2 linked regions of the Caenorhabditis elegans genome follow. The protein of the gene in region 1 purifies or fractionates together with the protein of each later gene. This does not show direct contact. Each region holds a gene or a part of one and is shown in the gene's direction. Other genes may lie near its edges. The genes, in order: fld-1 and vdac-1.

Region 1 (6,886 bases):
TGTTTGAAAATCAGGTTTTTGCAAAAATATTTCGATTTTCGAGGCATTTTCCACGAAAAAATCCATATTTTACGGAGATTTCGCACAAAAATTGGTTGAGGCTAACACTACAAACTACAAAATTCGCGAGCCTCAACCAAAAATTAAAACAATTTTTTCATCTAAAATACTTGGAAACTGCATTTTTCGAGGTAAAAAACAGTAAAAAGTTCGATTTTCTTCGATTTTCAAGCTGAAAAATGTCGAAAATAGGGGTTTCTCAGTAAAAAATCGCCGAAATTCCAATTTCCAGCACCTTTGACATATCTCTCCAGGCCTTTTTGATGGCCTTCTCGTCGGCGCCCTGATCCAGACCCAAAATCTGATACGGGTCATAGTCCTTGTGAGTTTGCTCGATTTCAGTCGTTTTTTTCACAATTATCGCGAAAATTGCCCACGCTACAACGAGAACCTGCAATTTTTTGGGATTTTTAGTGGATTTTTTCCGGATTTTTCAGTTTTAAAGCCTTACAACGATGGTAATAATCTTTTTAGTCCGTCGCCACGGCTTATTCGCCGCTTTTTGTCGTCTTTTCTTGTCACAACCGTCGCATTGGCACTCGTGTTCGTTGATCACGTGTTCTGGTTCTAAAAATACGAAAAAATACGAAAAAATTATGAATTTTAAGCCAAAAAATCGATTTTTACCTGGTTTCGAGGCTCCTGGAAGGCATAGGTAGGTCGCCGGGAACAGAATAATCGCGTAGAATGCCACGAGCACATAGTAAAATGTGTTGCCGACTTCGTCGTACTCAAACGACGCGCGGCCCATTTTTTAGCGATTAATTACTGTAAAAATAGTGATTTTTTGAGTTTATCAAGTGGTTTTTCGTTTGAAAATATCGAAAATAACGTTGAAAAACTGAAAAAATGTGCGATGACGTGACACTTCGATTTGCAGTGTCTTCCGCAAAACTGTGCGGCGGTGTTGCAAAATTGCGTGCGCCACTTGCAAAAAGGGGCGGAGTCATTGGTTTTTGATGATTTTAATGGGTTTTTCGTGATTTTTAACTCAAAAAATTGAGAAAAAACTTGTTTTAGCACTAAAATTTGATAGATTTAGCAAAATTTAGGCAAATTTCCTAAAATATCAGCAATTTTCAAAGACTTTGCTCAAAAAACATGAAAACAGCAAAACTGTGCGTAGGAGTTGCAAAATACCGCGCGCCGCGCTTGCCAAAGTGGGCGGGATCACGGGTTATTTATTTTTATAATAAATTTCGAAAAAAATAATCGGTTTTTGTTGGTTTTATTGGATTTTTCTGCATTTTTTAAAGTTTTTTTTTGATTTTAAAGCTTAAAATATCGATTTTCAGATGTCTGTCCGTCTTGCCGGCACCGCTCTTCGCGAGATTCGCATCCACGTCTGCCAGAAAAGTCCAGCATCGGCGGGAGTCCGCGCGTTCATCGAAAACGACTATGTTGGAATCAAAAAAGCCAATCCACAGTTCCCAATTCTGATTCGTGAGGCGTCTGGCATCGTGCCAAGGTGGGAAATTATCGATTTTTGGGTGAAATTGCGGTTTTTTGCAGAGTTTTCGCCAGATACGAGCACGGAGTTGAGCGAGTCGCCACTTTGGAGGATTTGTCGAGAGAAAATGTAGGATTTTTGGTGGAATTTAATGCCGAAAATCGATATTTTCAGGTCAAATCTACTATTACTCAATTGGCGTCCCAGAAATAACCTGGCGAAGAGTTTAGAGTCGAAAAAAAATTCTAATTTTTTAATTTTTCCTGTAGAAATTCATTGAATAAATCGTTTTTATAGCTTTTTTAAGCGAATTTTTTTGAATTTTCCGGGTATTTTCACCCAAAAACCTACTGTTTTACCTATTTTTCCGTAATATTTCCAATTTTTATCAGTTTTTTTTCAGACAGTTCTGGAAAATGCGGCAGCTGGCGGAGCTGTTGACGGATCTTCTTGGCCCAGTGCCAACAATGTTTTTATGGGTAAGAAATTCGAAATTTCAAATAATTTCAAATAAAACTCAAAAAAAAATTAATTTTTTAAATAATTTTTCGTGAAAAATTAATTATTATTTATTTCTAATTTTCCAATGAAATCAACAACGATTTCTTCGATTATTTTTGTGAGTTTTCACTCAAAAAATGCCAAAAACCCCCGATTTTCTGCGAATTTAGGCCCAAAAATCCATTTTCTCCAGGTAATCGTCTCATTTGCCTTCTTCCGAGCCCTGCAATTCATCGTTCGTTGGTACTTATTTGGCAAATGGACGTGGCCGAACTTTAACTTTTTCGACATCCGAAACCGCATTCGGAGGAGACGGAGAGGCGGTCAAGAAGCTGAAAATACTGAAAATCCGCCTGAAAATGAGGCAGAAGCCGGCGAGCAGGTCGAACAGGAGCCCGAGCCCGACAGCAGAGATCTGTCGGTGAGAATTCAGAAATTTACTGCAAAAAAAATCCAAAAACTAGGAAGTTTGAGCTAAAAAAGCAGTTTTTTTTTTCGAAATTTGAGCATTTTTTGTTGAAAAATATCGATTTTACAGCATTTTAAGCAGTTTTTCATCAAAAAAAAAGTTGGTTGAGGCTACACAAATTTGTAGTTTTTAGTCTTAGCCTCAACCAATCAGCTTTTGCTTCAAAACGCCGAAAATTGTTGAAATTTCTATCAAAATCGCTTATTTCTAGAGTTTCTACTACAAGTTTCAATAAAAACTTTACAAAAACGTTGAAATTCTTTCCCAAAACTCCTGAAAAGTGCTCAAAACTTGGTTGAGGCTACACAAACTTGTAGTTTGTAGTCTGAGCCTCAACCAAATCAGCAAATCAGCCAGAAAATATAAATTTTTCCGAATTTTTACCTAAAAACTCCACATTTTCCAGGCTATCCCACCGAATAAGAAATGGCGAATCTCCAACGAATGTGTCTCACTATTCCACTCGGTTATATCAGGATTATGGGCCGCCTACGCACTTTTATACTATAAACAGCTCGTTCAGGACCTCGTTAATTATCGATGTGACGTTGCAATCAATTTGGTTAGATTTTAGCGAGAAAATTCGGAAAAAATGACTAAAAAACTCGAATTTCGAATAAAAAAAACCAAAAAAATTGGTTGAGGCTACACAAACTTGTAGTTTGTAGTCTATAGCCTCACTCAATGAAATCAATCAATTTTCCCCACAAATAATGCAATTTAGTGCTAAAAATTGGCAATTTTTCAACTTTTCTCAACCAATTTGTGAGTTCTGTCCATATTTTGAGGAAAAAAAATCAAAAAATGTCGATTTTGTAACAAAAAAGCACGGAAAACGTTGGTTGAGGCTGAACCGAATTTGTAGTTTGTAGTCCCATCGCTTCAACCATCATTGAGTCACGAAGAGACTACAAAATACAAAAGTTGAACGTTTTTGCTCAAAATGTTGCGATTTTCATCGAATTTTGTTCGTTTTTCTGCAATTTTCGCCGATTTTTTTGTGAGAAATTGCCAAAAATTTCGAATTTTCAAGAAAGTTCCGAGTGAATTAGTGAAAAAAAATTTGTTGAGGCTCTCAAGTTTTTATAGTTTGTAGTCTATAGCCTCACTCGACGAAAAAATCAAATTTTCTTCACAAATAATGCAGTTTTGTGCTGAAAATAGTGTATTTTTCACATTTCCTGCCTATTTTTTAAGAAAAAATGATTTAAAAATTCAAAAAATCTCGATTTTCTACCAAAAAAGCATTGAAAACGTTGGTTGAGGCTCTCAATTTTTTGTAGTTTGTAGTCTTAGCCTCACTCAACGAAAAAATACAATTTTCCCCACAAATGATGCAATTTAATGCCAAAAAGTGTCCCTTTTTCAACTTTTCTCAACCAATTTGTGAGTTCTGTCCATTTTTTGTGAAAAAAATAACGATTTTTTGATAAAAAGGCATTAAAAACGTTGGTTGAGGCTGAGATACTTGTAGTTTGTAGTCTATAGCCTCACTCAACCAAAAAATCCAATTTTCCCCACAAATAATGCAGTTTTGTGCTGAAAATAGTGTATTTTTCACATTTCCTGCCTATTTTTACAAGAAAAAATTGTTAAAAAATTCAAAAAATCTCGATTCTCTACCAAAAAAGCATTAAAAACGTTGGTTGAGGCTGAGATACTTGTAGTTTGTAGTCTATAGCCTCACTCAACCAAAAAATCCAATTTTCCCCACAAATAATGCAGTTTTGTGCTGAAAATAGTGTATTTTTCACATTTCCTGCCTATTTTTACAAGAAAAAATTGTTAAAAAATTCAAAAAATCTCGATTCTCTACCAAAAAAGCATTAAAAACGTTGGTTGAGGCTCTCAATTTTTTGTAGTTTGTAGTCTATAGCCTCACTCAACCAAAAAATTTTCACGTTTTTTTTTCGATTTTTTCTACAAATTTCGAAATTTTTCCATTTTTTCAAGCTTCTCGCTTGTAGTTTGTAGTCCAAGCCCAACTGAATTCAAAATTTTCAGGTTCTAATGTCTGCGGGATACCTTTTCCACGATCTCGTCGATCTTCTGGTCAATGAGCAATCCGCCAGAATTATCGAGCTTCTTTTCCATCATGTTGTCGTTCTTTCCGCGTTCGCCGTCACAATGGTGAGGGTTTTCTGCTGAAATCCCCCAAAAAACCCAATTTTTTTGCAGTTTTTCAACCGATTCCTCGGCGTCGTTGTGTTCGGATTGCTCATGGAGCTCAACTCGATTTTCCTGCACTCGAGGAGCTTGTTGAACTTGTAATTTCAGCGATTTTTCCGTGATTTTCAGCCAAATCACCTATTTTTCCAGGTACGGAGTCGACAAGAAGAGCCCATCGTTCCGTATAATCGCTCTGCTCAATATGGTGACACTTTTCGCGTTCCGTCTCTGCGTTTCTGCGTATTTAGTCTATTTTGTGGTGAGATTTTGTGCATTTTTCAGTGGAAAAATCGAGTTTTCGATGATTTTTTCACTAAAAACACGGCAAAATTTGCACAATTTCCATGTTCCAGGTGGTCTCAATTCCGGATCTCGAGTGGTATGTATCAATTATTAACGGTCTAGTCATCGCCTCGCTCGCCTCCACAAATACAGTGCTCACTTACCGGCTTTTGGCAGCTGATGGGCTTTTGGGTGAGATTTTTAAGTTTTTAACTGAAAAATTCGGAATTTTCAGCCGAATTTTAGTCGAAACGCCGAACTTTTGAAGAAAAAACGATTTTTTCGAAGGAAAAAGCGAGAAAAAAGTTGGTTGAGGCTGTAGACTACAAACTACAGAACCAGTATAGCCTCAACCACGATGGTTGAGGCTCAGAGGACTTTGTGTAGTTTGTAGTCTTCGAGCCTCAACCATTGTTTTGGAGAAAAAATGCTTTAGAAAACTCCAATTTTCCTTTTTTTTTTCCTTTTTTTTTAAACAATTTTCGATATTTTCAGGCTCCCGACGTACACGAAGAACCCCCGCAGCTACCGCAGAAACACAAGTTGGTGACGTGGAAAGTGGTCCGCTTAGGACACAAGTTGAGGATGAGGTTCGAAATTTTGGATTTTCTCACCCCAAAATTCATCAGTTTTGCGAAATTTTAGTGAAAATTCGAGAAAAATTCGATGAAAATCGCGAAAATTTCAAGCGAAAACCAATTGGTTGAGGCTGAGCTGAATTTGTAGTTTGTAGTCTCTTAGCCTCACTCAAAGATGGTTGAGGCTCAAAGACTACAAACTACAAAAACATCGATTTCTAGGTCATTTTCACGTGATTTTCTCGAATTTTTCACTCATTTCCCGTTTAGATTTCTCGCAAATCGAGCATAATGACTACAAACTACAATTTAAGTCAATTTATTTGTTTTGTTGCAGGACCATCACACAATCGGAGTGCAAACGATTCATGGAACAACAGAAGACGCGACACAAACTGTTTGAACTCACCCCGCCGCTCCCCCAATTGTACCTATTTATCTGTTAAAAATTGAAATTCTTCGGTTTTTTGGTGATTTTTAAGCGAAAAATCGCGAAAATTTGATAAAAATTGGGTGAGGCTCGCCAAATTTTGTAGTTTGTAGTCTATAGCCTCACCCAACAGATTTTCCACCAAAAATCGACGTTTTCAGTACTTTTTCCTGCTTTTTTTGCCATTTTTTTTTCTGTATCTACCGTAATACTTGTTATTTATTGATTTTTCCCCCCATTTTTTAGCCCCAAATTTTTACCAAATCACTCATTCCATGTCTATCTTGGCCGCGCACCAAAGATGCAAACTGTCATTTTGATGATATCACGAAGTTCCACGACGCTTTTCTCTGCTTACAGTATTTATTTTTTTAAATTTTTTTTTTCACACGAAATTGACTCTAATTTATATTAAAAATACTCGATTTTTGATTTTTGAAAATTTAAATTTTTAAATTTTTAACTGTAATTTACGGTGTTTTATATCGAATTTTTCGACCCGATTTTCAGCCGATTTCAGCAAAAATTTCCAGACAAAATGAGCAAACGAGAGCCGAGGAAACGAGCACACGACTCAACAAATGAGGCAGCTGCTCCCGGCGGAAATGACAGTGAACCCCCGCAACAACAAATAATGCCAATAATTAACAAACGATATATGGTCGAGAAATTCATTATTAATACTGTGAAAAAGGTTCGGAAATCGCTTTTTTTTTTTTTGTGAAAAAATCGATTAAAAACCAGAAATTATTGTTGATTTTTCCTGAAAATTTTCGAGAAAAATCTCTTTTTTTTCCATTAAAAATCAAATTTCCAGGTGGTCGCCGTAATTATACACATTGATTTTCGAAAACCGCCGCAAGAAGTCCGCACGAATAACTATAAATCCATTGAGAATCACGAGCAAGGAGCGAAAGAGCTCATGTATTATGTGCATTATGAGGAGT
Region 2 (3,860 bases), on another chromosome or scaffold:
TCGTACAGGTTTCTCGCAAATTCAACTAAATACCGGATATCAACATACTCTGGACCCATCTGCATCTCTTTTTGTACGAATTGCAATGGAGGAAGAGTACTAATTCTCCTGCTTTTTAAACATATTTTTGAGACCAAAGCCGTTTTTATCACTACCTGTGTGTTATCTGATTACATGTAATATATGTTCTACTGCCCTTTCTTTCGCATAGTTTTGTAGTTAATTTTTAATGCATATTTTTAAAAAATTTATTGTTTTATTGGTTTATGGGTATTTACACTATATTATTTTTTAGAAACATAAACTTATTGGCGTAGTTGGTGTAGATAATCTGCGAGCCATTTCTGAAAGAGTCAAAAAAATCATGTTACTAAATGGTGTATTCGAAAACAAACAATTGGATTATCCGGTCTCTCAACTGCTACGCGAGCCAGTCCCTGGCTCAGTTTCGGCCATACTTCTACTGAGAGATAATCCTTGGCATGTTTCAGCATTGCTCTTTCGTCAATGTCTGAATATATTTTTATGGGAGAGTCAAAATTCTAACTTTATGGAATCTTACACTTGGGGAAAAAGAAAATTATATCGTGATAGGCGGCAATTGTCGTTTTTGAATAATATATTCCATCACTTGAACTCATTCTGAATTAAACGCTTGTGAAGTTTTAAAACTCTTCGGATAGATTTTTTGAAAAACCTCCAAAAGTGTGAAGGTTTCGTACCGAAACGAGACTACGGTAACGGTTATTTTCAACTGTGCGCAATGTTTTTCTTCCATTGTTTTTCAGTATTTTCGGATGTTTGTTGGTCTTTGCTCACCTCTTAGCGATCACATTGTGATATTTGGCCACTTCTTTCATCTCAATAAAAGCATTCGCTCGTTGACACAATAGTAACATGCATGGTCCGTCTATTAGCCTGTCTGATAAGTTCCAGATATCTTGGGATTCAAGATCAGCACTTTTCCACTCCATGACTTCTTCAGTTTTAAAATGCTTCACAGTTTTCTAAATAATCAGTTTCTTCTTCTTTAATTTTCATATATACAACTTACCTCTATAATCCCGAAGTTTTCTTTTGTTATGTGCTTCAGTACGGATTCATATTCATAGAAATAGTTCGGCAGAATAATTACAATTATTCTATCGACTAGGTTTGGATTTTCCAGTTGTGGCTTAGAGACTTCCGAGCGGTACATTTCGAATAGGTTAGATGCAAGTGACAGAAGTGAACTGAATTCGCTGAACCAGGTGATGCGGAAACTATTTGGATTTGTGCTCAATTTCCGGTACCATTTCCTGGTTTAACGCTAAATTTGAGATTTCTTGCTAATTTCATTTTGTTTCGTTAGTCAATATTTCTTTCATTGCATCAAATCTTTTCTTCTCAGTGCATCATTCAATTTTGAAAAACTGCCAAAATAATCCAGTACTTTTGGAAGCGGAGCGGTCGCGCTGCAGTAACCAGTCTCTGTGCCTCTCATTTTCGTCCTATGTCTCGAGACGGGCGGTCGCCGCGCCAATGTGCTTGCCTTTGAACTCTCAATTTGCTGTTGTGGCGTGATCTGTCCTTTCTCTATCGCATTCAATGTTTTCGATACCGTCGGAGTTTTATGTTACAAATGTTTGCTTCTGAATTTCCCGATAAGATAATTGTAAATCATTTAACTGAAACCCTGAATATATTTTTTGGCGATGTTGTGTTTTCTGGCGCATTGTTTATCGACTTCCTACTGCTGCCATTGAGTTGGTTTATCTCTTTCTTTCCGTTTTTCTCGTATGCACTGCTCAATGCAAACATTTTCAAAGCCTTCATTTTTCGAAAATTTCCTATTTTCCTTCTCTCGTGTAACTCTAGAATGCATGTTTCAAAAAATATTTTGTGTTTAGAAAATGGCCCCACCAACCTTCGCTGATCTTGGAAAGTCCGCCAAGGACCTCTTCAACAAAGGATACAGTAAGTTTCAATTTTATCTTTGTAGAGAGGAATAGTGTTAGGTCATTTATTCGCCTGATTAATTTTTTTCCAGACTTTGGATTCCTCAAGATCGACTCCACCACTAGAGCTGGAGACAACAAGGAGGTTGAGTTCAAATCAGCCGCTTCTCACAATATCGGATCCGGAAAGCTTGGAGGAAATCTCGATGTCAAGTACAAGATCCCACAATACGGTAAGCTCGTCTGAACATCTTATTGTCTACCCGCTAGATGGGGACAACCTCGTGACGCAGGTGATGCAATTGTATGTACTCTAAAACACCACGTGACGTCTAGCGACCGCTCAACAAAAATACAACATATTGTGTGAGAGATATCAATCATGTTGTTTCGTTTTCAGGAATCACTTTGACCGAGAAATGGAACACCGAGAACCAGCTCGGAACTGTTATCGAAGTTAATGAGCAATTCGGACGTGGACTCAAGGTCACTCTCGATTCTCTTTATGCCCCACACGCCGGAAAGAGAAGCGGAAAAGTGAAGCTCGACTGGGCTCTCCCAACTGCTAGAGTGAGTAGTCTTGTACATATTTTGGGTGATAAGATTGGCGAAGCTCGTCTCAAGCTTGACTGGAAGCATGATTGTTTCAGGGTTCGATTTTCTGAATGTAGAAATAGAGATTTCAAAAATCCATCTTTGTGAAATGAAACAAATTAGCCATTTACAGGTTACCGCTGATGTTGGAGTCACCTCTGCTCCAGTTATCAACGCTGCCGGAGTCTTCTCCCGTGACGGATGGCTCATCGGAGCTGCCGCCACCTTCGATTCTTCATCGAATAAGTTGGCAGCCACTTCTTTGGCTTTCGGACACTCCACTCCACAATACACCCTCCACTCTTTCGTTATTAACTCAACCGACTTCGGAGCTTCCCTTTACCACAAGGTTGCCTCCAACGTCGAGGTTGGAACTCAACTCGGATGGAAGGTAAACTTTTTAAAATCCTAGAACCAAAACTAAAGTGAATTTTCAGGTTGGTGGAAACGGAGCTGACTACGCTCTCGCCACCAAGTATGCTCCAAGCCGTGACCTTACTGTCCGCGCCAAGGTCAACAGCTCTTCCCAAGTTGCCGTTGCTGCCACACACTCCTTGTCTCCAGCTCTTAAGCTGACACTTTCCACTCAATTCAACCTTGCTGCCAATGATGCTCACAAGTTCGGACTTGGACTCGAATTCGATCCATCCAACTAGATCTTCCGATCACTTCCATTCTCCCATCAATAGCGTTCTTAAAATTCTTTTAGTCCTCAACCGTTGATTTTTCAATGTCGATTTATGTTCTCTAAACTTCGAAAAAAAAGAAATGTCATGCGCTATTTACTTTTCTGCTAAATTTTACAAACATAAATTATTGAGTTTCATCAGTGGCTTAAAATAGTAAAAATGATATGTACAAAACAATCCATGGGTTCTCGCGGAAAGAGGAGAGAATAACCGTTTTCTGTTTTGGAATGGAAAAGTGACATGGACAAAAAATGTAAATATTGATCATGGAACTACACGTTTTCATCGTTGGGCAGAGGTGTGTATGGTGGTTCAATGTTATTATTACGCCAGGAAAGATGCAAGTTGGTGGATGAAGGACGACGAGAGCCAATTCGTGATCCAATTCTTGAGTTTCCAGCTGTGTTCGCGTGTGTCAAGAAGAGCTCCTTAGAAGCTTCTGACATTGTGAATGATGGTCTTCTACTGGTGGCAGCTGACTTCAATAGTTCAATTTCTCCTTTCAGTTCAGTCTTATAATCGTGACGAGCGTCTGCTTGATCCAGCTTTTTCTTAAAATATACAATTGTCTCCAAGTTCGAGTTTTCTATCAAACCTGCAATAAATGCTGAACCATTGAAGCAGCAAACGCATCCCCTAG

What was found.
Region 2: the proteins of fld-1 (region 1) and vdac-1 fractionate together in Caenorhabditis elegans (co-fractionation; one large-scale study listed by BioGRID). This does not show direct contact.

What each region holds. Positions count from the first base shown.
Region 1 is NC_003279.8:14,112,281-14,119,166, forward strand, and holds fld-1 (TLC domain-containing protein fld-1), read left to right. Parts: upstream 1-1,913; 5' UTR 1,914-1,926; coding exon 1,927-1,989; intron 1,990-2,204; coding exon 2,205-2,432; intron 2,433-2,886; coding exon 2,887-3,042; intron 3,043-4,484; coding exon 4,485-4,610; intron 4,611-4,658; coding exon 4,659-4,747; intron 4,748-4,799; coding exon 4,800-4,908; intron 4,909-5,002; coding exon 5,003-5,123; intron 5,124-5,426; coding exon 5,427-5,521; intron 5,522-5,846; coding exon 5,847-5,912; 3' UTR 5,913-6,370; downstream 6,371-6,886. Other genes in the region: dnj-29 (J domain-containing protein), read right to left, coding at 296-451, 512-627, 688-811; ndua-2 (NADH dehydrogenase [ubiquinone] 1 alpha subcomplex subunit 2), read left to right, coding at 1,356-1,528, 1,573-1,639, 1,685-1,723; mys-2 (Histone acetyltransferase), read left to right, coding at 6,478-6,633, 6,757-6,886. UniProt on the Caenorhabditis elegans protein: Regulates the composition and fluidity of the plasma membrane. Inhibits the incorporation of membrane-fluidizing phospholipids containing omega-3 long-chain polyunsaturated fatty acids (LCPUFA) and thereby promotes membrane rigidity.
Region 2 is NC_003282.8:7,505,921-7,509,780, reverse strand, and holds vdac-1 (putative voltage-dependent anion-selective channel), read left to right. Parts: upstream 1-1,889; 5' UTR 1,890-1,892; coding exon 1,893-1,956; intron 1,957-2,029; coding exon 2,030-2,170; intron 2,171-2,337; coding exon 2,338-2,507; intron 2,508-2,664; coding exon 2,665-2,922; intron 2,923-2,968; coding exon 2,969-3,187; 3' UTR 3,188-3,360; downstream 3,361-3,860. Other genes in the region: plc-4 (Phosphoinositide phospholipase C), read left to right, coding at 1-103; R05G6.5 (Uroporphyrinogen-III synthase), read right to left, coding at 306-344, 396-511, 563-642, 820-1,007, 1,055-1,198; Putative sodium-dependent excitatory amino acid transporter glt-6, read right to left, coding at 3,493-3,771, 3,816-3,860. UniProt on the Caenorhabditis elegans protein: Forms a channel through the cell membrane that allows diffusion of small hydrophilic molecules. Plays a role in maintaining mitochondrial morphology.